Linked DNA regions of Struthio camelus. The protein of the gene in region 3 purifies or fractionates together with the protein of the main gene of each other region. This does not show direct contact. Links are inferred from orthologs where the notes say so. Each region holds a gene or a part of one and is shown on either strand. Other genes may lie near its edges.

Region 1 (7,843 bases), on a different chromosome or scaffold from region 3:
ATAGATGCTAGTTTCAAAAGAACAATTTGTGGGCAAAGAAGTACTACAACTACAAGAGAAAACCAAGTCTTTGAGGAACATGTAGACTTCAGTTACCTGAAGTAGGTGATAGAAGAGCTATGTATTTCTGTGTAGTTTGGAAGGAAAGCTCATTTACTCCTAAGCAAAGACAGTTCTCCGTCTCCACATTCCTATTTCGCAAGGGCTCCTGGACACAAGCCAGGCAAGCCGTGCCATCTAGTGGTTAGAAATCACCAGCAAACTGGAACTAGGTTCTGCCAGTCTGGAGCGTAGACACCACACACCCACTTGCGTAACTGCAGTTATTTCTGCCTCATGGACGTGGTTTGAGACAGTCCTGCTTGACACAGAGTTCTTCCTGGTCCTCCAAGAGACATCCCAGAGGAGCACAGATGTGCTACCCTGGCAGCTTTTCAGTTTCTTGGTCTCCACAACTCAATTCAGAAAGGATGGTACAAGTGAGGCAGTCATCACATACAACAACCCCAATCATCATGCAAGAGCAAGGATTTCTGCTCAAGTAAGAGAGACTATCTGTGTAAATTTAGGGGAAAGAGCCATCCCAAATCTCTTTACTGGTGCAGCCATTCCAGTTCACCAGTCCTTTAGCTTGAGCTGCACAGATGCACACTTTCCAGTGCAACAAAAATTGATGGGTTCAAGCCCTGCTATGGCATGGGCCTGTGAGCATAAAGCTCTTGTACAGCTAGTTGGGTTTGCTCCCATCTGCCACAGAGCTGCCTGACTGCCAAAAGGGCTATTTTCTGTTCCTTCCCAACACAGAGTCCTCCTGACACTGCAATATGAATACTAGAGCCGTTGTCACAAGGGTACTAGTATCCACAACAACTGGGTAGCATTTTGAATAGAAAGAGTTGCCCACTTACAGCAGCTTGGCTTTGGTTTGTCTTCACAACGTTCATTGCTCGAGCAGCGCTTTCGCTCTGATGATGCAGCTCTGTCAGTCTCTTCTTCAGCGCTGACTGCAATAGAAAAGATCAGAAGATATTTCAGTGAAGCAGCGGCTGTGCGTGTTCTTGGTCAGGTCATGCTTTTTGGAGTGAAAATCAAATTTATAGAAAGTTTTAACTAACCACTGTGTAAGTATTAAGTACTACAGATTTAAAACATGCTGTTCCTTTAACCTCACAGGACACGAAAATATTCTGTTTGTGTGTAGTTTGTGAAGCAAGCACTCTTCCCACATCGCCACACTCTCCAAATAGCAAGGCCTATGGTGTTGGCTCATTCTTTTGATAAGGACTAAATACTTCTATCAGCACAGCAGTTGTCAGTGCTAAGAATGAACTTTACCTTAGGTTGGACTTTGGGCTACAGGTTAATGCTACCTTTTACCTCTCTCTTTAATAGAGAGTTTTATCACTCAAATGTAAATTATCTATTCCTTTAATTCAGGATGCTGCTAAGCAAAATCAGGGAGGACATCTTAGGTTAACACGCTTAGGTTGTACACACCAGCTGGAGGGATGGGAGTTTGTGCACCTAAACTCAGTGCCTCTAGTTTAGATTTTTCAAGTGTGCTTTACTCCTCTCCTCCCCCCCCCCTGACTTTCAGCAATGCTGTAAGATATCAGGGCTGGGTTTCCTTCCCTTCCACTCCACAGAGAACGCTGCTGCCACCACCACCGCCAGCTCCTGGTTTTGTTCAGCATGTACTAGAGCTCCCCCGGCTACTTTTATAATTCTTCACTTGGTAAGAACAGCGTGGAACAGCGCGTGTCGACAGTCACGCAGTAAGCCTGTGGTAAGGCCACACAGCAAAGCCTGTGTAGTGAGTAAAACACTCACTCGGAGCAGGCGCTGAGTTACACGTTAATGCCTGCACACAATACACAGTTCAGTCACGTAACCCCTGCTGCCAACCACAACAGCCCCTGGTGCTCTCCAGAGCACACAGACGAGAGCACTTGCCATTCAGTACAACTGCACATCTGAGTCTGTCCGTCAACTCTGCGATAGCATCTTCCCAAACCCAAGTCCCTAAAGGCCACTAGTCCAATCTTGGAGAGAGGGGAAAAGTGCGAGAAACGACTCTTAAGACACACTCACAGCACACATTGGAAGGCAGATAATAATTTGGCAAGACCAGATACAAAATTTATAAGGCAGGTCTTGGTCCAGGCTACCCCAGCACTCTTTCTTTGCAGCCCATGACCCGCAGTGCATGGAGACCTGCTGGGCTCCAGGGGAGCAAAGGGAAGCACCGCGATGACCCTCTCTGTATTTCAGGGCATGCCAACATCGTGGATCAGGGCACACTGGGATGAGGCCCTGCACCCGCCCCGCTCACTCACCTCGGCCTTCTCTTTGGCCTGCTGCAGGGGGCTGCTGTGACACAGCTTGTGGCTGAGGAGGCAGGTGGAGCAGATGCAGGTGGCATGCTCCCTGCAGAAGAACTCCAGGAGCCTGTTGTGGTCCCTGCACTTCCTCTGCTGCAGATCCTGCAGGGGCGGGCACAGCTGGTGGTCGCAGAAGGCCGGGCTGTCCTGGTGGGGCCGCAGGTGCTCCAGGCAGAAGGAGGCCATGCAGGTGAGGCAGGTCTTGGCGGCAGGTGCCTGCAGGCAGCTGTCGCAGGGGACGGGGCCCGCGGCCGCGCCGTAGCCTGCCACCTCCCCATCAGCCTCCACTTCGGCCTTGGCCTTGGTGCAGCTGCCCTGGAGCTGCTCCACCACGCGGCACAGCACCGTGTTCTTGCGCAGCGTCGGGCGGCCAGCGAAGCTGGCCCGGCACTGCGGGCAGCTGAAGGCCTGCGTCGGCTCGGCCCAGGTGAGCTCCAGGCAAGAGGCGCAGAAGTTGTGCCCGCAGGGCACCGTCACGGGGCTGCTGAAGAGGCAGAGGCAGATGGAGCAGGTCAGCTCATCCTCCAGCACGGACAGCGCCGGCTCGGCCGAGGTGTGGGTCAGCGCCGCCATCTCCCTGCTGCCCTGAGCCGCCGCGGGGTAAACGAAACTCGCAGCGGCACTTTCCGGGAAATCACGTGGGGCCCCGTCCAGGCCCGGCCCCACGGGCGAGGTGGCTCGGCAGCCGGTGCTGCCCGGGGCCAGGGCAGCCGCCCTCAGTCACGGACTCTGACTCACTGCTTAGTGATTTAGAGGCAGAAGGGGCAACAGAAGGCATTCAGGGCTTTGGCGGAGGGGAGCACCAGTTCAGGGACTGCCTCTGTAATTTGCTCAAGGGTGGAAGGGTTTCTAGGGGCGGTGGCATGGCTCCACTCGTGGCTGGGCTATCTAAATGAGGACCGTGAAACCTTTGTCAGAGGGAATGCTAACAAACACCTGAAGATACCTGAGAAATGGGTAGTTGACAGTGATTGTAGAAGAAACATTGTTACAGAGATGTATTGTGCTGTATGTTACCAGAGCTGGGACTAAAGAGCAGCTGTTAATATTCACATTTCTTATTTTTCTGTAGGTGGAAGATGCACTTTTTCCTGGGCTTATCTAGGTTAAGCCACTGTCAACTTTCAAATACTTTGCACCTTCACTTTTATTTTCAGCAGCATTCACCTGATATCTGCTAATGCATATAAAGCAGGAAGGTAAATATATACCTTTACAGTTTTTTGTTTATGGAGCAGAACATGCTTATGGGACATTTAGAGCTCAAATGAGCAATTTAAGTTCATCTTTGTCAAAGGGGACTTAAAATTCTATTTTGAATAAGCACCTACCACTCCTGTTGTCTAAAAACAATGTTTAGCATTAAAAATTACTGAAGAATTTTACCACTTAACTATCAAAGTTATTACTCTCTTTACTTCCTTGCTATCACTTGAGACTTTCTTCATATGCTTCCCGGTTAAATCGGACCCTTTGCCCAGATATCGTGTATTGAAACTGCATTCAAACTTTGAGCATGAAGTCATAAGCAGAGCAGAACAAACTTCTTTTGTACACCCGACTGAGCAAACATCAGACAGCTATTCTCATGCCCTCTACCATGTCTTTGGGTTTAAATGGTTTAGACAATTGTGATTTCACACATCACAATTATAAATATCCCCAATTTCCTATGGAGCTGACACTTGATGTGTTTTTGAAAGGTCTGTAGTCACAGCAGGAAACTCCAGGTCTCTTCCATAGCTGTTGGCTGCCAGCCTCTAGCTGCAGGTGCTCATCATATCTGCAGTGTCCTGCCCAGTTTGTTTGACTTTAGCTTGCTAGCTCAAACATGCACATACCTTTTGAGTCATCAGATTAGTATGATCACTATCACACAAATGAAGAGAAAGGCATGACATAACGAAACTGTGAGTACAGAAGAACTGTTCTACTTATCCAAAATTTAAGATAGAATTTTTTTAAACAAACAAACCCATAACACTAAATTGCACACAAGAGGGTGGCCAAGCATCTCACATGATAGCTGGGACTGTGCCAGTAGAGAGGCCTGCAAAGGAGCCCAAAACCCCAGGGACAGAAAGAAGAAAGCATGAAAGGTTTGTGCAGAGCATCACTGGCTCTCTCTGGGATACACATGCACGTCCAGTCCTATGCTGCATTTCTCACCCATTAACCACTGCCAAGCCCTGCCCCAGCTCCCCAGGTAGGAGGATCCTGTTGTGTGGCTCTCTCAGAGGAGGACAGTGGTGTGACAGGAAGGACAGTCAGCCTTCGCTGTCACAGACTGCATGTGATTTAAACTGTGCGTTGAAACAGTACAGTTTCACACTAACTTGGTAGCAGCGAACAAATAAAACTCAAGGTTTTATCTTCAAAACATTCTCTCTCTGCCGTAATTTGTTTTCAACCATGATCCGATCCTAGAAGCCAGAGGGACTTCAGATCTTAAATCTGTAGCCAAAATGCACTGTAGGCAATGGAGCAAGAGATGAGACCTCCTCTAAAATGCTACAGAAGATTTGCATTTAATGTTTGCAATTTTACAATACATTTTTCATTTCTCATTCTCATTTAAAAAAAAAAACAAAATAAAACAAAAAACCACAACTTTGATCTATTAATCCTGTCTTGGATTGTGCTGAAATGGCTGGGATTTACTTTTTGTCCAGTTTGCAAGACCATCCATACATGAATCCAACTGTCAATTGCTTTAAAATCAATTTTTAACATAAAATAATGGCAACTGAAGAGAAATGCAGCATGGAAATTAAAGTTTTACTCATATATAAGTAATTTTCATGAACAAGACATTTTAACAGGAATAATGCAAAGGTATATCATATTTTAATATAACCATGCATTAGCCAGACAATATATTTTAGTTAAACAATAATGTACAATTTTTCAGGAGTTTGTATCCAGATATTTTTTCCTATCTTCTGCTTTAGAGTCAATTATCTGGAACAAGGATCAACTTAAACTAAGATTACATATTGGCAAAGCACAGTATCTCTCGGGTAGGAGTTCTACCTACTACCTGGATGCCAATAGTGACCAAAGATGTCAGTGAAACGCACTGCCACCACCTGGTGACCCATTCTGGTATTAGGAAGGAAAGAAGAGAGTCGGGACAGACACTTCAGCACTGAAACAGCAAAAGGGTTTGCTGAAAAGTTTCAGAGCCTACACACATTAATACACTGGGACATAATTTTGCCCGGGACTCATGTTATGTTCCACTGGTTCTAGATAAAGTTCTCACTTACCAATACTATTTATCGGCTCTCAAAATTACAGAAGCTTAATATCAATAAATCTTTTCTTGACGTGTTCAAATGAACCCTTTATACAACTACAAAGTCACAGCATTTTTATCGTGCCCTGTAGCTGTGGAGGAAAAGAAAGTGTCTATCAGTAATACTTCAATTTAATTTTTAATGCTGTTTTAAATTATCCTCACAGCGAGTTACCTCTGTATTCCAGTTATACTACTCTAGTTCGGCCAGACAAAGCGGAGCTACTGACAGTACCAGAGAGTCTTACTGTATCTCTTTGAGCAAATTGTTCCAATTTTGCAACTCAGAACCGTAGGACATAAAAATTGTTACTAAGCTTCAATAAAAAAAATATTTCCTATATTAAACAAAGCACTCCTATATTAAATAAAAACATGTCCTAAGGGAAAAAAACAAAGTATTTATTTTTCTTTTGGCATAATTTCATTTAAAAATCATTCATTAAAAATATCCACCAGTGGATCTGCTGTCTTCAGAACTAGAAGGTAGCGCTTCACGGAACAGTCCATACAGTTATTTACATTTATTCATATCTTAGATTTTTCCATTTTCAGTGCTCAATCCATCAACTGGAGGCTCAACGATCAGTCTCGGCTCTATCAATGCATCCCAACTTTCAGTTATCTGAAAGAAAAATACAGAAAATACTTAGCATGTATAAGCTACATAGGTAGATGGGAATTTCTTCTGCGTTATGCTTTGTCTGGACTTGAACAGCAGCACTACTAAACAAAGATCACAGACTCTTTCTGTGATTTAGGGATCTTCCTAATGACTCTCAAATCTCATGTTGTATTATTTTCTTACCTGCGTCTTTCCTTACCCAGTACATCAAGTGAGTAAGCCTGTATGAACTGATACTCTAGACATATTATTATTTATTTTATTAACCAAAACAAAAAGTTACACAATTTGATGACTGCTTTTTGAACAACACGGAAGAAGTGATTGTTACCTTGTAATCATATGCACTCTCACTAGAAAGGAGCAATTACTTTTGTTTTTACGTATTTTCATCAGATGCACTATAAAAGAAATCTCCCTGAAATGAACAGCATCATAAATCAGGGAACATATCATTAATGTGAAAAATCACTACAGTCTTCAAAACAAGACAGTCACGTACCTTTGTATCCTGAGAAACAGCGTACTCTATCAGCTCAGCTCCATCTGCAGACTGGTAAACCAGATCGAATTTCCCTGGCTCTTTAGCCACTTAAAAGTTTAAAAAAAAAAAAAAAAAAAAGAGAGAGAGAGAAGGAGAGAGAGAGAGAGAGAAACAACACAAAAGAAAAAATACCCCAATTCAGTTAACCATAAACAAGAGGACATACATTTTTACAACATTTAGAAAGCTAGTCAAGCACGGTTTTTCAGTGATTACTCCAAACAGCTGCAATAATTCATGTCCAGTGGTTCAGAGAATCAGCTGAGCTACATGACTTTGTATCTGTGTTATGCTTTATCATACTCAACATAGCATCAGCTCCTTACATTTGTAATTTATGTGGGTTGAGACTGCTCTTTAATATCTTTTGAGTTCAAAACTTACACCACATCCATAATGTTTATAATGGTAAAGAAAAATCTTGAGACAGAACTGAATTTTACAAACCAAAATTAAAGTAATTATCTAATCACTACAGTGCATAGAGGAAAAGCTTATTGACAATCTGCTACATAAATTTGAGAAAAAAGTTCATGGGATGATGATTTATTAATGCTGGTTTAAATGGCAACAGCAGTATACACACGCATAATTTCAGGTCTTTGAAGTGTGTTTTGTCACTATAAGGACTCAGTTCCACATTCAATGAAGACAGCGGCTTCACGGACTTCACAAAAACAGCGTCAGGACCTAAAATTTTCTCCGTAATTCTGTATAATTATTTTAATCTTTCAGGATATGAAACAACAGTTCTACCTGGAAGTGAGTTACTGTTGCTCATACTGACTGAACAAATTGAATTTTGCAAATATATACGAACAGCTTCAAGAACGAGCAAGTGTCAAACCTTCTGTATTTAAGCAGATTTGGGGGGGTGTAGGGAGTGAGAAGGAACCTGAGGAAACTGGAAATATTCCTGAAACAGGAAGTTTGCCTCAGAACCATCGTCTTCCAGGAACATATGTGACAAGAGCCGTTCAGCATCCTAGGGTACG
Region 2 (7,923 bases), on a different chromosome or scaffold from region 3:
GAGCTTGGCGGCAGAGAGCAGAGTGGCGCAGCGGAAGCGTGCTGGGCCCATAACCCAGAGGTCGATGGATCGAAACCATCCTCTGCTAGCTGTTTTGGTCATGTCCCCGCTACCTCTTTTTTTATCCCCCCCGCCGCGGGGCTCTTTCTTTATTAGCCCCTTAATTAATATCATTAATTGCTGCCACCAGCTCTGGGGCTCCTCTGCCCACAGCTGCTGTTTGTCCCCCAGCAGGACGCCCGCCCGGCACCGCTGCGGCTGGCCGCAGCAGCGGGCGGGGGGCGGCGCGGGGACGCGGACGCGGGTGGGGGCGCGGCGCTGCCCCGCGGCCCGCAGCCGCCGTGGGCGCCCGGAGGGGCTGGGCAGGCTCGCGGGGGCCCCGCGCGTGTCCCGGCGGGGCCGGTGGGAGGCGCCGCGCGCGTCCGCGGTGCACGCGGGGCGGCGGCAGGACACGCCGCGCGCGTCCCCAGGGCCGTGGGGTGCGGGGGGGGGGGGATCCCCCGTGCTGGGCGCCCCGCGGGGAGGCGCAGCCGCTGGGTGGTGCTGGGACCCCGCGGGCCGGGCCGGGCGGGGGTCGGGGGGCGGCGGGACGGCGCCAGCAGCCGGCGGAGGCGGGGCGCTCCCCGCCCTGCCCGCGCATGCCGCGAGTTTGTGCGGTCTCAGCCCGGGCGGGACGCGGCCGGCGCGGCGCAGCCTCCCCGTGGGCTCGTGGGCTGGCGGCGCGGCGCCCGCGGCGGGGAGCGGCGGGGCCGGAGCCCGGGGGAGCCCGGGGGAGCCCGTCGGGGCGGCGGCGGCGGGGGCGGCGGGCAGGAAGGGGTTAAGCGCGGCGGACGATAACCGCCCCTTGTCGCCGAGCGGGGGGAGGAAAGGCGCAGCCGGGGCCGCGGTGCCAGAGCCGCGGGCGGCGGCGGCGGCGCGACCCGACCCGACGCGACACGACGGCGCGGGCCATGCTGGCGGCGCTGGCCGTGCTCAGCGCGCTGGTGGCGGCCGGCCGCGGCGCCGCGCTCACGCTGGCGGTGGTGCTGCCCGAGCGCAACCTGACCTACGCGTGGGCCTGGCCGCGCGTGGGGCCGGCCGTGCGCCTGGCCGCCGCCGCCGTCAACGCCCGCGCCGACCTGCTGCCCGGCTACACGCTGCGCTGGGTCTTCGGCAGCAGCGAGGACCGCCACGGCGTCTGCTCCGAGATGGCCGCGCCGCTGGCCGCCGTGGACCTGCGGCTGGCCCACCAGCCCGCCGCCTTCGTGGGGCCGGGCTGCGTGTACACGGCGGCGCCCGTGGCCCGCTTCACCAGCCACTGGCGGCTGCCGCTGGTGACGGCGGGCGCCGAGGCCCACGGCTTCGACGACAAGCGGGAGCAGTTCGGGCTCACCACCCGCGCCGGCCCCAGCCACCGCAAGCTGGGCGAGCTGGGCGTCCAGCTGCACCGCCGCTTCAACTGGACCCGCCGCGCCCTCCTCGTCTACTGGGACGAGAAGATGGACGACCGGCCCTGCTTCTTCGCCGCCGAGGGGCTCTACGTCCAGCTGCCCACGCTCCGCAACCTCACCGTCCTGGACGTGGTCTTCTGCGACAAGGGCAACTACTCCTTCATCATCCAGGAGATCAAGCAGAAGGGCCGCAGTAAGAGCGCCGGGGGCGGGCGGCGGGCGGGGACGGAGCCCCGGGGCCGAGCGCGTCCGTGGGGGCGCACGCGCCTCCCGAGCCCGCCGCGCCGGGCACCCGCGGGGGCTCCGCACCGCCCGCCGCGGCCGCCCCGTCGCGGGCTGGCACCGGCCGCCGGCCCCGCCGGCCAGGCGCTGGGCGCCGGCCAGGCCTGGAGCGCCGCCCGCCGCCCGTTATCGCGGCCTCGGGGCCGGGGCACTTCCCTCTTTCCGGCCGTTTTCCCGGGGCACCGCCTGGCCCGGCCCCCCCGCCCCGGGCTGCGGGGCCGGAGCCGTCGGGGCGCCCCGACGCCGCCGGGGCCGAGCGGGGGCCGCCTGGCACCTGCGAGCGGCCGCCCCGGCCCCATCCCGCCCCGCCGCCCCGGCAGAGCGCGGGCAGCCGGCACCGCCGGGATACGTCCCCGCCGGCGAGCGGAGGAGGAAACGGAGTCGGGAAAACAGGAAGGCCGGGCGCTGGCGGAGGGCAGGGGTCCGGCGGCGGCACGTGGGGCGCCGGAGCGGGATCGGGGCCCCCTCACGCCCCGCTGCGCCCGGGGGTCCGCGGCCCGGCCCCGGCGCTCATTCCCTCCCGCATCGCACGGAGCCGCGGGACGCGGGGACCCCCCGGAGGCCGGGCTCGGCCCTGGGTGCCCCGGCCGGCATGGGGCCGGGATGGGGCCGGGAGGGTCCGGCTGCCCCGCGGAGGGGGGACGCTCCGGAGCCGTCCCCGCTGCTCCCGCGCTGCCGGCGCCGGGCAGGGCCGTAAATCCTGCCCCGGGCTCGGCCGAGGTCTGCGGCTTCCCGCGAGGGGTCGCGGCCCGACTCGGCGTCGGGGGGCCGCCGCCATGAGCCGTGTCGCCCCGCGCAGTCGTCTACGTGTGCTGCGCCCCGGACACGCTGCGGGAGCTGATGCTGCAGGCCTGGCGCGAGGGGCTCACGCGCGGCGACTACGCCTTCTTCTACATCGACATCTTCGGGGCCAGCCTGCAGGGCGCCCGCTTCCCCGAGCCCCAGCGGCCCTGGAAGCGCGGCGACCGCGACGACGCCAGCGCCCGGCAGGCCTTCGAGGTGAGCCCCGCGCGCACGCGTGTGCCCGTGCGTGCGCCCGCCTGCTCACAAGCATGCATACGTGTGCCCTTGCACGCACCTGCGCACCCGCAGGCATGCACACCTGCAGGGACACGTGCACCAAGGCATGCAACCGTGCATTCACAGGCATGCACACGGGTACCGAGGCATGCAACCGCACGCTCACAGGCATGCACACCTGTGTGCACACGGGTACCGAGGCATGCACACCCGCCTGCACACATGCACCCGTGCGCTCCCAGGCACGCACACCCACCTGCGCGCCCTCTTCTCCCCTGCACAAGCCCTGCCTCCTGGCTGCAGCAAGCGGGGCCTGGCGCGGAGTCGGGGTGGGCGCTGGAGCCGGCGGAGCAGCCCGGCCTCCCCCGCCAGCCCTACCCGTTCGCTCCCCGCGCCTGGCAGCTAACGAGGAGGAAGGAAACGAGATTAATTTCCCCAGGTCCCAGCTCTGGCCCTGCCTTGAACGGAGGCTATTAATAGGCAGGGCGGAAAGCCAGGCTTCCCCGGACCCCGGGGCGCGGGGAACCCGTCCCGGAGGGGCCGTGCAGGGTGGCTGGGGCAGGGTGGCTGGGGCAGGGTCCCCGTCCCCTCCGCTCCCAGCCGCTGTCCCCCCAGGCCGTGACCATCATCACCTACAAGGAGCCCGAAAACCCCGAGTACCGGCCCTTCCTGGCGCGGCTCAAGGAGGAGGCGCGCACCCACTTCAACTTCACCATGCACGATGGCTTGGTAGGGCCAGGGTGGAGCTGGGGATGGAGGGGACGAGGGGACGCGGGAGGGAGCTGGGGATGGAGGGGACGAGGGGACGCGGGAGGGAGCTGGGGATGGAGGGGACGAGGGGACGCGGGAGGGAGCTGGGGATGAAGGCGACGAGGGATGGAAGGGACGAGGGATGGAGCTGGGGATCGAGGGGACGAGGGATGGAGCTGGGGATGGAGGGGATGAGGGGATGCGGGATGGAGCTGGGGATGGAGGGGATGAGGGGACATGGGATGGAGCTGGGGATGGAGGCGACGAGGGATGGAGGGGACGAGGGATGGAGCTGGGGATGGAGGGGATGAGGGGATGCGGGATGGAGCTGGGGATGGAGGGGACGAGGGGACATGGGATGGAGCTGGGGATGAAGGCGACGAGGGATGGAGGGGATGTGGGATGGAGCTGGGGATGGAGGGGACGAGGGGACATGGGATGGAGCTGGGGATGGAGGCGACGAGGGATGGAGGGGACGAGGGATGGAGCTGGGGATGGAGGGGACATGGGATGGAGCTGGGGATGGAGGGGACAAGGACCCCGTCTGAGCCGTCTCCATGTCCCCAGATGAACTACATCGCAGCAGCCTTCCACGACGGGGTGCTGCTCTACGCCCAGGCCGTGAACGAGACGCTGGAGCGGGGCGGCTCCATCACCAACGCCACCGCCATCACCCGCCAGATGTGGAACCGCACCTTCTATGGTGGGCGCCCGTCCCCGTCCCCATCCTCATCCCAGCCCCATCGCGGCCCCGGCAGGGCTGGGTGCCGCCTGCCCGGCGCCTGCCTGCCCCGCTCCCAGGCTGATATTTTGGGATCGGAGCCGCCGGGATGGAGATTTACAGCCCTGGGAGCGCTGGCGCCAGCGTCCCTGCGCGTCCCCCCGCGTCCCTCACGGCTCCGTCCCCAGGCGTCACCGGCTTCCTGAAGATCGACGAGAACGGGGACCGGGAGAGCGACTACTCCCTGTGGGACATGGACCCCGCGCGGGGCGACTTCCAGGTGAGCCCGGCCCCGGCACGGGGCGCCCGGTCCCCCCGGGGCCACCGGGGACCCGTCTGCCACCGCCTCTCTCCCCCCCCGCGGCAGATCGTGGCCAACTACAACGGCACCACCAAGAAGATCCACATGGTGCCGGGGCGGGAGATCCTCTGGCCGGGACACGTGGTGCCGCCCGACGTGCCGCCCTGCGGCTTCGACAACAGCAACCCGCTGTGCCGCAAAGGTGAGCCCGGGCGCCGGGGTGCCGCGCCGTGGGGTGTCGCGCCGTGGGGTGCCGTGCTGCTGGGATCCTGCACCATGGGGTGCTGTGCCGTGGGGTGCTGCGCCACTAGGGTCTTGCATTGTGGGGTGCTGCGCTGTGGGGTGCTGCACCGTGGGGTGCTGCACCACCAGGATCCTACACCATGGGGTGCTGCACCATGGGGTGCTGCACCACCAGGATCCTGCACCATGGGGTGCTGCGCCATGGGGTGCTGTGCCACCAAGGTCCTGTACCACCAAGGTCCTGCACCACAGGGTGCTGCGCCGTGTGGTGCTGCACCACCAGGGTCCTACACCATGGTTCCTGCACCATGGGGTGCTGTGCCACTGGGTGCTGCGCCACTGGGGTCTGCCCAAGCCGGTGGGCACCGTGCCCGGTGCAGCCCCTCACCGCTCCCCTCTTCCTTTGCAGCCAATCTGTCCACCCTGGAGATCCTGTCCCTCGTGGTCAGCCTGATCCTCCTGGCCATCACCGTCACCTCCTTCTTCATCTACAGGTGCGGGGCGCGGAGCGGCGCCGGGGGTGCGGGAGGGGGACGGTGCCGCGGGCCCCGGGGTGCCCGCGGGGCCTCACCCTGCCCTGCCGGCGCAGGAAGCTGCAGCTGGAGAAGGAGCTGGCGGCCGAGCTGTGGCGGGTCCGCTGGGAGGACGTGCAGATGAGCAGCCTGGAGAAGCACCTGCGCAGCGCCGGCAGCAAGCTCACCCTGTCGCTGGTGAGAGCCGGGCGGGCGCCCCGGGGCCGGCGCGGGGCGCGGGGCATGGGGCCGGCCCCGGGCTCACCCGCGCTCGCTTCCCGCAGCGGGGCTCCAACTACGGCTCGCTCCTGACCGCCGAGGGGCAGTTCCAGGTCTACGCCAAGACGGCCTATTACAAGGTGTGGGGCCGGGGAGGGGGGGCGGCGCGGGAGCGGGCGGCGGGCACCCGCCGGGCACCCACCGCCCCGCGTCCCCCCGCCCAGGGCAACCTCGTGGCCGTGAAGCACCTCAACCGCAAGCGGATCGAGCTGACGCGCAAGGTCCTGTTCGAGCTGAAACACGTAGGTGCACGCCGGCTCGCCGCCTCTTTTGGGGGGCCGGGACTCCTGGGTCCCTTGCTCCGGGCGCAGGCTGATGGCAGGGCCGTGGGGAGGGGGAGCGGGGTGGGGGGGGTCCCCAGCGCGGGGCAGAGCCCCACGCGCCGCCTCCGCCCTCAGATGCGGGACGTCCAAAACGAGCACCTGACCCGCTTCGTCGGCGCCTGCACCGACCCCCCCAACATCTGCATCCTCACCGAGTACTGCCCGCGCGGGAGCCTGCAGGTACCGGGGCGGGCGCCCGTCACCCGGCGTCGGGGCTGCGGGCGGGGGGCTCCCCTGGGGGGACTCCCCTGGCCCCGCGGGGAGGCTCTTTGCAGAGCGGGGGGCCGGGGCCGGCGGTGTCACCCCCCGCGTCCCCAGGACATCCTGGAGAACGAGAGCATCACGCTGGACTGGATGTTCCGCTACTCCCTGACCCACGACATCGTCAAGGTAAGGAGCCGGCCCCCCGCCGGGCGCCCGCGGCCCCCCGGGCGGGCGCTGAGCCGCTCTCGGCCCCACCAGGGGATGCAGTTCCTGCACAACGGCGTCATCGTGTCCCACGGAAACCTCAAGTCGTCCAACTGCGTGGTGGACAGCCGCTTCGTGCTGAAGATCACCGACTACGGGCTGGAGAGCTTCCGCGTGGCCCCCGACAGCGAGGACTCCCACGCGCTCTTCGCCAGTGAGCCCCCGCCCCGGGGGGGGTCCCGCTCGCCCGGACCCCCAGCACCTGCCCTGCAGGGGTGCTGCTCACCCAGACCTCGAGCACCAACATTGGGGGGGTCCCTGGTCGCCCCCCAGGACCTGCATCGGGGGGTGCCCCTCACCCAGACCTCCAACACTGAGGGGGGTCCATGGTCACCCCCAGCACCCGCGTCAGGTGGTCCCCCTCACCCAGACCCCCAACACCAAAACTGGGGGGGTCCCTGGTCGCCCCCAGCACCTGCGTCGGGTGGTCCCCCTCACCCAGACCCCCAACACCAACATTGGGGGGGTCCATGGTCACCCCCAGCACCTGCATCGGGTGGTCCCGCTCGCCCAGACCCCCAACACCAACATTGGGGGGGCCCCTGGTCACCCCCAGCACCTGCATCGGGTGGTCCCCCTCACCCAGACCCCCAACACCAACATTGGGGGGGCCCCTGGTCACCCCCAGCACCCGCGTCGGGTGGTCCCACTCGCCCAGACCCCCAACACCAACATTGGGGGGGGTCCCTGGTCACCCCCAGCACCTGCGTCGGGTGGTCCCGCTCGCCCAGACCCCCAACACCAACACTGGGGGGGGGGTCCATGGTCACCCCCAGCACCTGTGTTGGGTGGTACCGCTCGCCCAGACCCCCAACACCAACATTGGGGGGGCCCCTGGTCACCCCCAGCACCTGTGTTGGGTGGTCCCACTTGCCCAGACCCCCAACACCAACATTGGGGGGGGTCCCTGGTCACCCCCAGCACCCGCGTCGGGGGGTCCCGCTCGCCCTGACCCCCAACACCAACATTGGGGGGGCCCCTGGTCACCCCCAGCACCCGCGTCGGGGGGTCCCGCTCGCCCTGACCCCCGGCGCCCGCCCGGGGGGTGCGTGACGCCGCCGCCCGGTGCCGCAGAGAAGCTGTGGACGGCGCCGGAGCTGCTGCGGATGGAGGCGCCGCCGGCGCGGGGCACGCAGAAGGGCGACGTCTACAGCTTCGGCATCATCCTGCAAGAGATCGCCCTGCGCAACGGCGTCTTCTACGTGGAGGGGCTGGACCTGAGCCCCAAGGGTGGGCGCCGGGGCCGGGGGGCGCGGGGGGGGCCGGGGGGCAGCGCTGGGGCTGACGGCCCCGCGCCGGCCCCCGCAGAGATCGTCGAGCGGGTGAAGAGCGGCGAGCGCCCCAGCTTCCGCCCGTCGGCCGGCGTGGGCTGCCACGCCGAGGAGCTGGGCCAGCTCATGCAGCACTGCTGGGCCGAGGACGCGCTGGAGCGCCCCGACTTCAACCAGATCAAGGTCCAGATCCGCAAGTTCAACAGGTGCCGCCGCCGCCTCCCGCCGGGGCCGGGCGAAGGGGCCGCCGGGCGGACCGCCGGGCGCTCACCCCCTGCCCGCCCGCAGGGAGAGCGGCGGCAACATCCTGGACAACCTGCTGT
Region 3 (7,283 bases):
CGGCTCCGCCTCAGCCCCCGCGCCGCAGCGGCACCGTCGGCCGGGCCGGGCCGAGCCGAGCCGAGGCGGGCTGGGCTCCCCACTGCCTCCGCTCCCCAGCTCGGCTCGGCCCCGCAGCCCCTTCCCCCCCCCCCCCCACCCGCCGCCGCCTCTTTGTTCGCTGCCCTGCCGGCACGTTCACTGGGGCCAGGGCGGGCGGGAGGGCGGGCGGGGCCGGCCGCGCCCCCCGGCTGAGGAGAGGGCCCGGCCGAGCCGGCCAGACAACGGCCCCGCTGCGGCGTGGCACCCACTTACCACGTTACAAAGCCCCAGCCCTCGGCGGGGAGCGCATCGCAGGCGGCCCCGCTCTCCCCTGCCCACCCCACCCCACCCTTCCGTACCCTATCCCTACCCCTCCCCGCCAGCGCCGCGCCGCGCCCCCTCCCCTCCCCGCCAACCGCCGCCAACCGCCCCCGGCGCGGGGCCGCCGCCGCTTTCGCGCCACGAGCCGCGGGGGCCGGCGCGCGGGGCCAATGGGCGGGCGCGCGGCGCCGCGCGCACCCGCCCGGCAGCCAGTGGCGCCCGCTCCGAGGCGGCGGGCGGCGCTGGTAGGCGCAGGCCGCAGCCAATGGGAGCCGGCGCCGCGCCACGCCCCGCGCCGCTTACTACGAGTTACTATGGCCGCCCGCGGCTCCGCGCGCGGGGCGGCACCGCGCCCCCGGGGCCGGCGGCTCCCCGCCACCGCCGCGCAGCGGGCCGAGCCGGGCCGGGCCGGGCCGCGGCCGGAGGGGGCCGCCCGCAGCGGGGACGGGCAGGGCGGGAACGCGGCTGTGCCTTGCGTGGCCGCTCCGCTAGGAGCGGCGGCTCCGCGCCCGCGGTGCCAGCAGGGGCGGCGGCGGCTGCCCGCGGGCGGCGAGGCCGGGGCGGGCCAGGCCGGGGCGGGCGGCGTGGGCGGGGGAGGGGCGGCCTCAGCGCTCCGCGGCGGCGCGGCCCCGGGCACGCGGGGGGCGGCGGGCCGAGGCTCGGGGGCTGCCCGCGAGGCCCGCGCGCGGCGGCCGTTAGGCCCCAGGGCAACATGGAGGCGCCAACGGCCCGTGCGCGGCGCGCGGCGGCGGCGGCGCCTGGCCGGGGTCCGGGGGCCGCCGGCCTCGTTGGCCGCGGCCGCCGCCGAGCTCCCAACGCGTAACGCCAAAACTGCGCCGAGGAGCGCGGTTCTGCCCTGGGAGGAAACGCGCTTGTTGGCACCACCCGTGACAGAGCCTGCCATTGGCAACCATGGTTCCCAAAGAGGACGTTGGATGGTAAATAGAAACACAGCGGATAATGCCTCGAGTTATTATCCCGAAAAAAACCCGATAGGAGTTGGGATTTTTTTTTTTTTAATTTTTTAATTTTTTTGCCTTGGCGGGGGGGAAGCGGGAGGCGGTTCACGGTGCGCCAATGGACGGGGAAAAAGATGCGGATGGCTATGATTGAGCTTTGCAGACTTTCATAGAGAACGTAGGAGGAGAAAGCACATGTTGGAGTCCTAGTGCTCATGGCAGCCTGCTCTAAAAACTGCTGATCCTGCTAATGAAGGATGAGTTTTGCTGCCGTATTTAGAATATTTATGTAAATATTTGAACTTCTGGTTGGTTTATGTGGATGATAAATATAAACATTTTAAATATGGAGAAAGATTAGAAGTTTTATAAAGCTTTTTCTTACAGAAGAGGCTTGAAAAATGCATTAATATGAGAATGTGCTGGTGTATACTGACGTATTTAATTTGTGACTGCCAAAATAAATTACATATCAAATTGTAAAACTGTATTCCCAAAAATGTTATGATTTGGGTGTGCCAAGCTGATCTGAACTATGTTTATGTACATAGGGAAGCAGAGATTTTTCAGACACCATGAGCAAGTTTTTGTTGTTGATTTGCCTTTTTTGGCATTCAAGATTTGGATTTACTCTTGAAACCACTAACCAACCCACACTTCTTGACAAACAAAGCTATGCATTATGTAGCTTTACAGAAAATGTTTCAGCTTATTAGCAAGATGTTCTCAGAGTATCAGAAGAAAGGGATTGCTAATAAACAGGGTTTTTTTCTATTATTTGGTTATCAAGCATTTTATGATGTTATTGGACAAGTGGTATGTAGTGTTATTACGAATTCTCAGTCTTCACTTCTTTAAAAAATAATTTCCAACAAAACAAGTATATAAACTAGAAAATTAAATTTATATGCACTCTCTTTAACAGTTTTAAGAGGAAATACCAGATAACACCATAGACCCACTATGTAGAAATAAGCACATGCAGATTGACTTTAATTCAGGACAAATGAAATTTGTAAAGAATGCAATTAATCTACAAGAACAGTGACAATTTCCTCTCACAAGTTTCACTAAGAATTCAGTAGTTTGGAGGGGACTGTTTTTGACTTGCACAATTTTTTTAATCCAGATTACACAGGATGAGATAATGAAATATGAATTCTTTTAAGAAAAATGCCACATCCAGAATGGAAGGGTTGTAGATGGGTTAATACTGGAGAAAAAAAAAAAATCCTCTATCCCCAAGATAATTTTTTGCATTCTCTACAAAATGGAAGTTGTGCTTAAATTCTGAGGAGTGGAGCACAAAATGTTCACTTTTTCAATTACAAGCTGACAAAAGTTCATAAAAATGACACTGAGATTAAACAACGAGTTGAAATTATGAATGTTTATTTCTTGGTAAGCAAAGTATGAGGATGCACACAATAAAAGGGCTGTATTCCTAAGTTACTGAAACATTAATCCATTTCGTGATAATTTCACAAGGGTTTCAGGCTACAGTCCTCATGGTAAGAAATGTCTCCTTGCATCACACCACCATAAGCTAAATCTTCAGCTTCTTACTATCTTTACTGAGTCCTTTCGGAACCATGCGTAACACTATATTCTAACTGCAGCGTCCAAAGTACAGATAACAAAAGAAGGTCAATAGCACAGTTCCCAAGGTAAGTTAATTCCCTCCTCTTTAATGGTATAGTTTATAGAAGTTAGGCACGAAAGTATGAGGCATTTCTGTTTACTACAGATTTCCACACATACTACAGTACATGTGGAAATTCATTCACTGTTAACTAATAAAAGTATTTAACTATTTTCCATGGAATACCTCTTAAAACGCACCACAAAAAGTCTACCACGGAACAAATGCAACCTTCAGCTAAAGGCAGCGTTGAATTATTAAACAAAACCTACTAGATCGCTATATTAAATACAGTGCTGGCTTTCATTTCCGTATCCTTTCTTCATCTTCAGGCAACATTTTGTTTGCCCTGGAAAGGCTCCACACCCCCAGACCCCTCCCCCACAAGCCCACCATTGTATCCTTACAAATGTGGAGAATTATGAATGGTTCCTTAAACCGGGCCGGGGGGAGGGGGGGAAGGCGGGGGATCGCCAAATCCCTTTGTGTGCCGTTACCATCCTAGGGCAACGGTGCCTTCGCCTCCTCGCCGCCGCCATCCACCATTAACTCGATTAAAGGCAAGCGCGGCCCCCCCCGCCCCGCCCGCCCGCCCCCTTCCCTTCCCCCCGCCGCGCCCCGCGCAAGGCCCGCCGGCGCGCTGCAGGCACGGTACCGTGCGGGGCTCCCTCCGCCCTCGGCAGACCCTCGACCCCCCCCCCCCCGCCCGCGCGGACCCCCGCCCCCCCCACCCCTCCCACCCCGCGGCGCGGCCCCGCCGGCAGCCCCCCAGCCCGGCACCGCGGGGGCGGCGCGGCGCGGAGCAGCGCGGCCGGGGGCGGGCACTGCGGTGCCTTTTCCCCTCCCTCCCTGGGCCGAGCGCCGGCGGCGCGGGGGAGGCGCGGCAGATTTGGGGGGGCGGGGGGCGGTGCCGCCGCGCAGGGTCCCCCCCTCTCCCCCGGCGGAGGGCAGAGGCTGGCGCTGCGCTGCGCGGTGCGGGTGGGGGTGCAGCGCCGGGCGGGCCCCGCTCCCCTCGGTCCCGCCCTCCAGCCCCCACCGGCCCTCGCTAAACTTGTCCCGTCCTGCCTGGCCTCCCTCCCCCCGTCCTTCACCCCGTCCCTCCTCCTCCTCCTCCTCCTCCTCCTGCTCCTCCTGTGTGCGCGCGCCCCATCTACTCGCTAATTGAAGAGCTGGGATTCCTCACGTGAGAAGTTGATTTGTAGTTTGAACACGTGGCTCATTCAAAAAGCCGGAATATTCAAGTAATTTTTTTTTTCCTCTCTCCCTCCCTCCCCTTCTCTGTGTGTGTGTGTTTTTTTTTTTTTTCATATTGAGAGGCGGCGCCTGCACGCACGTAGTGTGACATTTTCATAGTCCGCCTGCTGCTGCCAAAGGGGCTTGGGGGCAAGACAAAAAAAGTAGTTTTTTCCCTCCCCTCCTCCTTTTCCTCTCCTCAGCCCGCCATCCTCGGCCCCGGCGCTGGGTGTTTCCCCCGCGCCCCCCATGCGCCCGGGTAACACGGCAGACACTTAGGGCTCCCATTTGGTCACATCTTTTTTTTTTTTTTTTTTTTTTACCCCTTGAGAGAGGGAGGGAGGGACCCAAGCTACAGCTCTGATTTTTTTTTCCTGTCCTCTCTCTCTCTCTCTCTCTCCTTCCTCCATCGCATTTTGTTTTATTTCCCCCTTCCTCCCCACCTCCTTTTGCAAGACGAGGGTTGTAAGCCGCCGGACGCGTGTCTCCGAGCCGCCAGGAAGATGAATAAGCTCTACATCGGCAACCTCGGCGAGAACGTCAGCCCCCTCGACCTGGAAAGTCTCTTTAAGGACTCCAAGATCCCCTTCTCGGGCCAGTTCCTGGTGAAGACGGGGTACGCCTTCGTCGACTGCCCCGACGAGAGCTGGGCGATGAAGGCCATAGAGGCACTTTCAGGTGAGCGGCCTCGACGGCCCCCGCCGCTCCGCGGCCGCGTAGCTGCAGCCGCGGGCGGCGGGGCCGGCGCTCCCTGCCTCCCCCCCCCCCCCACCCGCCCCGGCCCCGCGGCCAGGTGAGGCGCGGGCTGCCCCCTTCCCACGCGCGGGATGGCCTTCCCGCGGGGGCTGCGCGGCCATCGCGCCCCCGCGGCAGCCTGGGCCCAGCAGCCGGGCCCCCGCCGCGCCGCCCGTGTTTTTCCACTCGCCACGGCAAAGCCCGTCCGGCCGGGGGCCCGCGCGGCGTGGGCTTCCCCGGCCGGGGGCAGCGGGGCGCTGCGCGGCGCAGCGGCCACACACACACGCCCCGCGGCCCCTGCCGCCCCCACGAGCGGGCTGGGGCGCTCCGCGGGATGGCGCAGGCCGCGTTTCTCCCCCCCGCAGGGGTGGGGGCGAGCTGCGCAATTGCCCCGAACTTGAGGGGGGGGGAATAGCCCTGCCTGCCCCCCCCCCCCGCCCTACCGTGCTATTTATTTCGGTTTCTCTTTGCTGCTCTCACGCACCCATCACCGCCTCCAGCAGCGCGCCGGCTCCTGGCCCCGACATCCTGTTTTTGTGTGCTTTTTTTTTTCCTAAAGAAAAAAAACGGCAGGTTTTGCGCGTGAAGCGGGCTTTGCGGCGCTCCGCTGGGAGAGGCTCCCCTGGAAAAGACAGCTTTGGTGTGCGTGTGGTGTTTTTTTTCCCCTCATTATTTATTTTGCATTTTTTGCTTTCGCCGCCCTCCCACCGCCTTGCGGAGAATCGCCCCAAGTTGGAGGCCCGGCGGCCGGGGCCGGCTGCGCGGGGCGGCGCGGAGCGGAGGGCGGCGGGCTCCGCTGGCCGCCCGGCCGGGCCGGGCCGGACCGGGCCGGACCGGGCTCGCCGGGGCTCGGCCCGGCGTCGCACGGAGCGTTTCCCAGGTGGCTGTCGAGGCCGGGGCCGGGAGGCAGGCAGGGCCCCGCCGGGCGCAGCCGCCGCCGGCGAGCGCGGCCGCGGGCCGGGCTTTGTTACCTCCGCGGGGCCGCTCGGCCGCTGCCCGCGCCGCTAATGAATGGGCTGAAACGTGTTGCACGCGGATTTCCTGCGCTGCACCGCCGCGGAGCCGGGCGGGCGGATGGGGACGCACGGCCGCGCTGAAATATTCCCCCCCTCTGCTTATCTCGGCAGGTAAAGTGGAACTGCATGGGAAACTCATAGAAGTTGAACATTCAGTCCCTAAAAGACAAAGGTAAATTTTTTTTTTTTTGCCTTCCCTCTCCTTGCCCTCAGTTAGTTATCCAGGCAGAAGCAATTTAAAAAATGCTTAGGTTCGTGTTTCTCTTCCGTATAGAGAGATTGGGCTGCTTTCTTCAACCCACAAATGTGCTCTCTGTGCTATCCTAGAGGTTTTCCAGAATCACCCTATGTATTCCTAATGTACTATATTGGCCAGGCTACAGGGGAAGTAAATCTATATAAATATACATATACTTTTTTTTTTTTTTTTTTAAGAAAAAAGCCCTTTTTTTTAGCAGAAGCGGGTTATGGCGAGATGGCAAGTGATTGTTAAGATTTTAAAATTTAAAGTTCCTGAGAAGAGTTAAAATCTGGGCGTTAGCAGGAAATGAAATGTGGTGTTTTGAACTGTATAACGGGCAAGCACATGAGCTTCGCTCCAGCAACAAAAAGCATCTTGTAAATACACTGGTATACATATTTTTGATCCTGCCATGTTGGAGTCTGCAGCGTTTTATAGGCATATAGCATAACTCTCATCTGTATTTGAGAGGATTTTTCATCATTATTTTGAGCTGGAATATAGAAGCAGAAGGAGAATGACTCCATCCCAATAAGGACAGGATTTATGCATCCTTAATTTCGAAATGTATGTTTAATTTTTACGAAGTAGTAATTTTGTGGGCCTCATTTAAAGAAGCAATACTTGCAAGACAGCAGGGTAGTATTTTTAAACTGCCTACAGCAATTCAGTCTGCCTTTTTCACAAATGTTTAGATTATAGAAAAGCTGGAGTGCACTAGAGAGTAATAGCAAAATAGATCAAACTTTCCACGTGCTTGTTCCTGCCCTCCATTATTCAATCTGGGAAGTATGTCTGTCTGTACAACTTTATTAGCAGGGGCTCCTACTATTTCCTAGTTATTTTTAAAAGCACAGTCTATCTAAAATAATTGATTTGAAAAGCTGTTTTGTTGGGAATTAAATCTTGGTATTTTGAGAATTAGAAGTTTAAGGTTTATTTAGTGTTGAAGGAAGGCTTCGTTTGAGGAAAACATGGAGACTTTTTTATGGTCTAGATTTAGCAATTGGACCTCTCTGGACCAATTCTTAGCATGTTAATCTTTATAGTTATATTTATTTGATACTTTGCACGAGAAATTAATACATTATATGCCCTATTCTTTATTATACATG
Region 4 (6,829 bases), on a different chromosome or scaffold from region 3:
AGTTCAGTCTAAGAGCAGAGCAACAGATAGTGACATCTCTTTCAGATGCTGAAGTTTCCTTCATTGGATGGTGCTCTTGTAGGCGTTTCTGCATTCCACGCTGAGGAACAATATCCAAGCAGCAGTGCGCCAAGTGAATCAAGTCCCCCCGTCATCTACAAGGCATTTTATCTGCATACCAGCTTCCAGTCTAGTGTTTCCCTCCTAGTTACTGATGGAATTTTTGGTTTGGGTTTTCCTCTGTGCACTTGCATATCAAACAACAGCAATATTTTATAGCTAGAGTAGCAAATGAACACAGAAAGGAACTGCTAATTTTACTTGAGACTAAAAGTTGTCACTGGAACATTAGATTTCCATATTCTGTTTTTAAATTGCCTTGGAATGAAAGCAACTTGCTATTTAGATGTGTGGCCTATACACTTCCAGACTAGGACTAAATTAGGACCTTACAGCTCTAAGGTAATCATCTGCTACAACTGCTACTGCTTCCTGAAATTATTAGCTCAATACTGAGGTCTTAAAGTACTTACTGTTAAATTAACACGGTAATCTATTTTTAACCGACTAAAATAGGCTAGGGTTGTTTCTAACGTATTTTTAGGAGACCCTTCCCCATGAAACAAAGGTAACACATACAACTGTTTGTCACTTTCTACTCACTGAATTCATGGCACAGTTGCTCATTTAATTTCAGGGAGAAAACTCCCTTCTTTTCCAAAGAGAAAGCCTGTACAGTCTTCCCCTTCCACCCCAATCCCTAAATTTATTCCTACTATCAGCATTTTACACTCAGCTGTCTGTGACTATGAAGTCCCCACAATAGGGAATATGTCCTCCTGTTCTTGCGTCCCAGGCTTAGGACAGCTGGCTTCTGCTAGACCAAGATGGGATCCTCAGCCATACAAGTGCATTCTATCTCCAGAGTTACACATAAGGTCAGCTATACTAAAACATTATGAAACAAGCAAACCAGCTTTCCACGTATCTGCTGTAATTCTGAATATATTTTAGTGGACCACGTAACCTTTTTTCTGTGAGAGCTTTTGGGTTCTTCTTCTCCCCCCATCAGCTGAAGAATTAACACACATTTAGATTGAAATGCATAATCGAAACTAAACACTGCAAGTGAAGTGAGATAACTTGCTCTTTCCTTAAATTTTTCGACTTACGTGTTACTACATAAAAGGAAAAGATGGAAAAAAAAACACTAACAGCAATACTTGGATATCAAGTCAAAATAAAGCATTTTAATTGTCTAAATCACGGCTTCCTCCTCCATCTACACGGAGGCACCAAAACCAATATATTTGTCAAAAAGATTTGCTATCACAAAAATCATACCAAAACAGGCTTCAGTGAAACAATTTTATTCATTGATAACTACATTTCCATAATGACAGAAAGGTAAGCCATAATCACCCCCAGTCCTCAGGGAGCTACACAGGCTTTTGGATGTGGCAAACGTCTCAATCTAATAAAGAGAAGGCACAGGACACGTACTTCTCATTTCCGCAAAACTAAACAAACACACACTTGCAATTCATCCTTCACCTGCACTGCATTCTCCCTCTTGGAGAAAGACGCCCCTACTAACCAATTGCCTTCTCTCCAGCATGAGCTTCCCTGAAGGACTCCCAAGCCCCAGCTTTCTCTGAAACTACAACTTCCAGGGTGCTTTGCTGTGACACTAGACTTGTACTGAAACCTTAAAGCTGACCACACATTTTCTTTTCCGCTGGTAGATGGAATAAAGCAGTGTAAGACAGCCTGGCCTTCCCTGTATGGCTATCAGCTGGCATGGGGAGCAGAAGATTTCGAGCTTGCTGGGCAGCAGGAATATCATTTGCTGAGGTCTGCTCACCTGGTAACAAAAGCCAGGCAGGATGTTTTATAGCAAACAGGGTTGTGTCAGCAGTTTCCCGGGCCAAAGCAGGAAAAGGCTGATGTGCATTAGCAGGACACATCTAATGCTGGCCTAGCTCTGCTCTTCCCACCCAGTGCAGTGCTGCAGGTTGCACTGGGGTGAGAGGGGCTGATCTGCAAGGCCTTTGCCATTACAAACTATTTGCTCACTTCCTCGCGGTAATTTGGCTTTACAAAATTTAGCTGTAACCAGGCCTTCGCTTTTTGCCTATATCCAAGAGTGGAATCAAAAGGACAAACGTAACTCTTATAACACGTGTGATTATAAAACAGGGCCATAAGGCAGCTCCTGCATTATTTGCATCTGTCCTAGTTTGTGACTTTCTGGGATGCTCTCTCATACTAAATTGCCCAATAACAGCAAAAGAGAAGGGGGGAAGAAAAAAAAAAGTATGCATTTCTCAAGAAAAGGGCCTTGGATACCACAATGGTTAAGAAAGGTCTGCTGAAACCTTAAAACAAATAGGACACCAAAACCAAAAGTGAAGGGAAGAAAAAAATAGTTACTTCAGATAATATACATGACCTGTAACAGCAAATAAGTAACACCTTAAGACAAAGGCAGTTTTGTTCCAGAAAACGCTTCGCCTGACACAGACTTCGGGGATTGCTGGGCGGCTTCTTTTCCTAGGATGCTTCTTTGTTGCAACCTTTACACATGCCCCCACAGAGTCCATACCATTTCCATTACTGAATACAAGTTACAGGTGGTGATTGTAACAGCTCTTGGGAAAATTGTACCTCCTGCCCTTGCCAGGGAGGATGGTTTAAAGTACTTTCTGAGGCCAGTGGCAAGCAGAAAAGACTTAACTCATCAAAAATGCTGAAGCTGGGCAACAGGCACCAAAAATCAAGGGTCTCCTTCTAAAAGACTGAAATTTTGATTGCCAAGCTCCTTACATCCAGAGCTTCAGTGAAAGAGGTGATTTGCTCCCAGAGTAGGTGTTGGCTGTGCCCTGGCACACACCCTCAAGTCTAGCTTGTCTTACCTTGGGAAGGAGGTACTGCAGAGGTAACTGTGTTTGCTGCTGGCCTACTGAGTTGATATTTGAATATTTGAACCTCAGAACTATTAGCTATTTTTTTAGTATACCTCAAATACACATACTGAAAAAGGGCTTCCTCAATTTTGCTGAGAAATCCTGAACTAAGCAAGCTATGAACAGGGGAAAGCTTCGCATGGGACACTGCTTTTAGTCCAACTTCATTTGCATCCTCTTATTTATTAGGTGGCTGGAGAGTCCTGCCAAATGCAAAACACTGCACCATTTAGCTGAAATCAGCCTCCAAAAAGAGAAAGGGGCCAACGGTGAAAACACCGGCGTGAACATAGCGAGCCTGACTGCCAACAAGCCCGCGCGCTGCTTAGCCGCACTGACACCAAGGACGCCCCCACCTCGACTCCACCACACTCGACAGCGCAGTAAGCACCTGCTGGAGAAACACACCCTTCTGATATTACTGCAAAACAGAAAAAAACGTAAGTCAAGCAGTACAAAGAACTCCTATAGCAAAGCCGCAGCAGCTGAGGAAAAGGCACCTCAGCGGCACTCGGGCGAACCATCGCTCGCCCCACCGCCTTCTCTGCCGCCCAAGAAGCCGGAAAGCGGTTGCCCCCGCGGGGGGCTGCGCGCCCCGAGCCCCGCCGCCCGTTGGGCCGCTAACGGTCGGCGCGCGCCCCGCCCACCTCCGTTCCGCCCCCGCGGGCTCGGCGGGAAGCCGGCGCCCCCCCCCCCCCGAACGTCACCGCGGCAAGCCACACGGGATTGGCGGAGAGCGCCCGAAAGGGGTTCCTGCCTGCTCACGCAGGGGCAAGACAGTACGGCCGGCGCGGCGGCGCATGCGCGCCCGCTCTCCTCCCCCTCCCTTCGCTTTTGCCCCCTCCCCTCTGCGCACGCGCGCGCACGCGCGCACGCACGGCCGCACGCGCGCACGGCCGCACGCACAGGCAGGCGCGCACGGGAGCCCCGGCCGCCCCTCCCCCGCCCGGCCGTGACATCGCTGCTGCTGCCGCCGCCGCCGCCGCCGCCGCGCCCCGATCGCCCCGTCCTTCCCCCCTCCCCCCGGCTGCGGCACCCGCCCGCGGACAGGCTCGCCGCGCCCGACACCGATCAGGTCCCGGGGGGGGTCGTGCCCCCGCCCCACACACCGAGACTTTTTCCCTGGGTGAGTGAGGGGCGAGCGGGGAGGTAGGCCCGGCGGCCGTTTAACGGTCGCGGCCGTTTAACGGTCGCGGCCCGCGCGCGCGCGCGCGGGGTCGGGGGGGAGGAAAGCGGCGCGGCGGGGCCCGGCTTCGCCCGGCGAGAGCCCTTCCCTGCCTCGGTGCGGCCCCGGCCCCGGCCCCGGGCCCGGCCGGCGGCGGCGGCGGCTCCCGGCCCGCCTCGTCGCCCGGTGCGCGGCGGGGGCGGCGGAGCGGGGCGCGGGGGGAGGCTTTTGTTCGCCGTCACCTTGGCGGTGCGTCGCCTCGGCGGCGCTCCCCCTTCCGCCTCGCCCCGGGCGCTGGCGGGAGGCGGGAGGAAAAAGCGCCCCCTCGGCCGCCGCTCCCAGGCGTGACGCCCCGGGCCCTGCGTTGCTTCGTGCTCTGCTGCAGCGTTCGTCCCTTTCATCCCTTCCCGTCGCTCGATTCGTGCGCTGCCTTCCGTGAGCCCCTAGAGGTATGTGGACTCCGGCGTGTACAGGATGCTGTTTCCCAGCCTCGTCTGTACTGCAGAAGCGACCTTAGTTTTTTATCCTCAGCTCACTGGGCTGCCCCTTTCCTTTTAGGGTTTGGTTCTGTGATAGCGTCACTGGCTTTAAAACCTTTTCCAGCCCAGGTCTTGCTAATTCCATGGACCGTGCCATTCTGTGCTCCCTTTTGCTCCAATCACACCCCGAGCTTTTCTGTTCTCACTCATAACATGGCTGAAGTTGCAAGCATCTTTTATTCTGCAGATCTAGATACCCTGAGCAGCCCTTTTGTGAGCGTCTCTTATTTCACGTCTGAGGTGAATATGGTATTCTCTGGCATTTCCTTCCCTTAATCCTGGATGGGTAAAGTAAAAGTCATTACAGTTCCAGAGTGGGTACATAGGAACGTCCTCTAGCATGAGTATTTTAACTTCCCTGGTTAGCTGAGTAACGCTTAGGATCTTGAGCGCTGTGCCAAGCACTGCTGCATGAAGGAAAGAACACTCTGTGGGATGAGAGAAGATGAGATTGTTGCTTGATCTGAAGCTAGACCGACTGACTCCAACCTGCAAGGTTTTTGATTGTAGCCTTCCATGTGGGTTTGGCAGTTCTTGAGCCCTCATTATATATTAGGCATTTCAAGTTCAGTGTACAAGCGTTCCTCTTCATTACAACAGGAAGTGTAAAGATACTAAAGCTAGTTTTCATCTCTTGAGAAACAGGATAAATTATTTTGTTCTTAGCGCAGTACTTGTGCAAGTCCACTACTTCTTATACTCAAGCTTCATATTTAAAGCCAGATCAGTGTCTTTGATCTGTAATTGGGTGGACCAGTAAAAAGAGAAAGACAACTTGTCATAGTAGGATGTTTGGGGCAAACATCCTACTAAAGCACTCACTGTTGCCTGAGGTATATCTTCTTTTCCTTTTTCTTGTTTCTTTTATTGCCAGTTTTAACTGGGGAGCACTAGTAAAGTAAGATCAGCTTGGTAGAAATGGTTACTCTGCAATTTAGGCTGCACTGTCCTACTCGATGGCCTGTAGGAGACTTAAAATGAAGTAATAGCAAGCAAGCACTACTCTGTATATCCAAGTCCCTGCGAGTAGCATAGTTGTGTTACCTCAGCTTGGTGAGTAGGTAAAGGGTTTGTCAACCTCCATTCTTAGCCAAGAAGGTGTTGTTACTGGCAACTTTTGCTTCTGGAGTTAATTTGTAATTAGCAAGACGTTCTCTGTTCATTCTGAACATAAGTACGCCTGCAGGGCCATATCTGCCTCTGGAAAGCTTTTTCATTCTTTAGGAAACATCCTTCTTCTGAACCTATTCCGGAAACTATTAGCTTGGGTTTAAGAAGTGTAATCCTTGTTTCCTGTTTTAAGTGTTCTTGTAATGTTCTAAGTGGTAGATGTGGGCTCACTGTATGGAATTATGATCCGTATCGTATGACTATTTTTCACAAGTAGAGTAAAATGTCTTCTATGATAGCTAACTTACTGGAGAGGGAAGTTACTGACCTTTCAACCCACTGATCCGCTGGTGTCCTTATAGGTAAACTGTTTGTATGGAGTTGAGATTTCAAATTTTACACCTGCTGTCACACTGGAAGTGTCTTACCGTGCTGAAAATATGCTGAGGAAACACAGTATCTTAACGCAGGCGGTTTTGAACTTCTTCACTTTTACTGTAGCGTTTGTGACACTGGATGTCATTTCTTTTGAGAGTATTGGACAAATGAAGAATTGCATCCCAACTCAAGGAGCACGTGAAAAGACTTAATATATCAGACTAAAATATATCTATCTGATGAACTGTCAGAAGAAGGACACTGACCCTGGCTTTGGCTGGTAACCACCAGGGAGAGAGTTGCAGTAGCTACCACAAAATGTGGTGCCACTGAGGACAGTGGCCATTGTTATTCAGGTGGGCGTTAGCTGTTCTGGATGATGCAGTTTAACTGCCCAGAAGATGGTCCTTTGTAGTAGTCCTGTGCCTACACTATGTGGTGCCATTCAGCTTCTCTCAAAAACAACAAAAAACACAACTGCTTGATTTGAAAGAACTGTATGTTGCACCCTGGGGCTCAGCCAATTCAGATTTTATTGGATTAGGCAAAGTAGTTCCTAAAGTAAAGGGATTCTCTTAGATTATACTGGTTTGCTAGCATTCACTGCTGATGGAGGATGATCTGAGCACTTGCATAGCGTGAAAGAGAGGAGATAGTTTCAGTTGCTTGGG

The links.
Region 1: the proteins of IGF2BP3 (region 3) and TRIM25 purify together in Homo sapiens (affinity purification with western blotting; 3 studies listed by BioGRID, with this or other methods). This does not show direct contact. The link is inferred for Struthio camelus from reciprocal best matches to the Homo sapiens genes IGF2BP3 and TRIM25.
Region 2: the proteins of IGF2BP3 (region 3) and ILF2 purify together in Homo sapiens (affinity purification with mass spectrometry; 3 studies listed by BioGRID and IntAct, counting the BioPlex papers as one, with this or other methods). This does not show direct contact. The link is inferred for Struthio camelus from reciprocal best matches to the Homo sapiens genes IGF2BP3 and ILF2.
Region 4: the proteins of IGF2BP3 (region 3) and G3BP2 purify together in Homo sapiens (affinity purification with mass spectrometry; 3 studies listed by BioGRID and IntAct, with this or other methods). This does not show direct contact. The link is inferred for Struthio camelus from reciprocal best matches to the Homo sapiens genes IGF2BP3 and G3BP2.

What each region holds. Positions count from the first base shown.
Region 1 is NC_090960.1:5,481,086-5,488,928, reverse strand, and holds the start of TRIM25 (E3 ubiquitin/ISG15 ligase TRIM25), read right to left. Parts: upstream 3,015-7,843; 5' UTR 2,955-3,014; coding exon 2,337-2,954; intron 1,005-2,336; coding exon 909-1,004; intron 1-908. Other genes in the region: COIL (coilin), read right to left, coding at 6,215-6,304, 6,807-6,895.
Region 2 is NC_090971.1:4,679,826-4,687,748, reverse strand, and holds the start of ILF2 (interleukin enhancer-binding factor 2), read right to left. Parts: upstream 3,014-7,923; 5' UTR 2,989-3,013; intron 2,712-2,988; coding exon of another isoform or gene 2,512-2,711; intron 1,624-2,511; coding exon of another isoform or gene 951-1,623; exon of another isoform or gene 898-950; intron 89-897; exon of another isoform or gene 17-88; intron 1-16. Other genes in the region: NPR1 (atrial natriuretic peptide receptor 1), read left to right, coding at 951-1,623, 2,512-2,711, 3,348-3,461, 4,050-4,185, 4,392-4,483, 4,571-4,706, 5,157-5,241, 5,337-5,457 and 8 more. UniProt on the Homo sapiens protein: Chromatin-interacting protein that forms a stable heterodimer with interleukin enhancer-binding factor 3/ILF3 and plays a role in several biological processes including transcription, innate immunity or cell growth.
Region 3 is NC_090943.1:37,522,369-37,529,651, reverse strand, and holds the start of IGF2BP3 (insulin-like growth factor 2 mRNA-binding protein 3), read left to right. Parts: upstream 1-4,276; 5' UTR 4,277-4,425; coding exon 4,426-4,435; intron 4,436-4,632; coding exon 4,633-4,854; intron 4,855-6,038; coding exon 6,039-6,099; intron 6,100-7,283. UniProt on the Homo sapiens protein: RNA-binding factor that may recruit target transcripts to cytoplasmic protein-RNA complexes (mRNPs). This transcript 'caging' into mRNPs allows mRNA transport and transient storage.
Region 4 is NC_090945.1:8,180,528-8,187,356, forward strand, and holds the start of G3BP2 (ras GTPase-activating protein-binding protein 2), read left to right. Parts: upstream 1-3,824; 5' UTR 3,825-4,092; intron 4,093-4,457; exon of another isoform or gene 4,458-4,580; intron 4,581-6,829.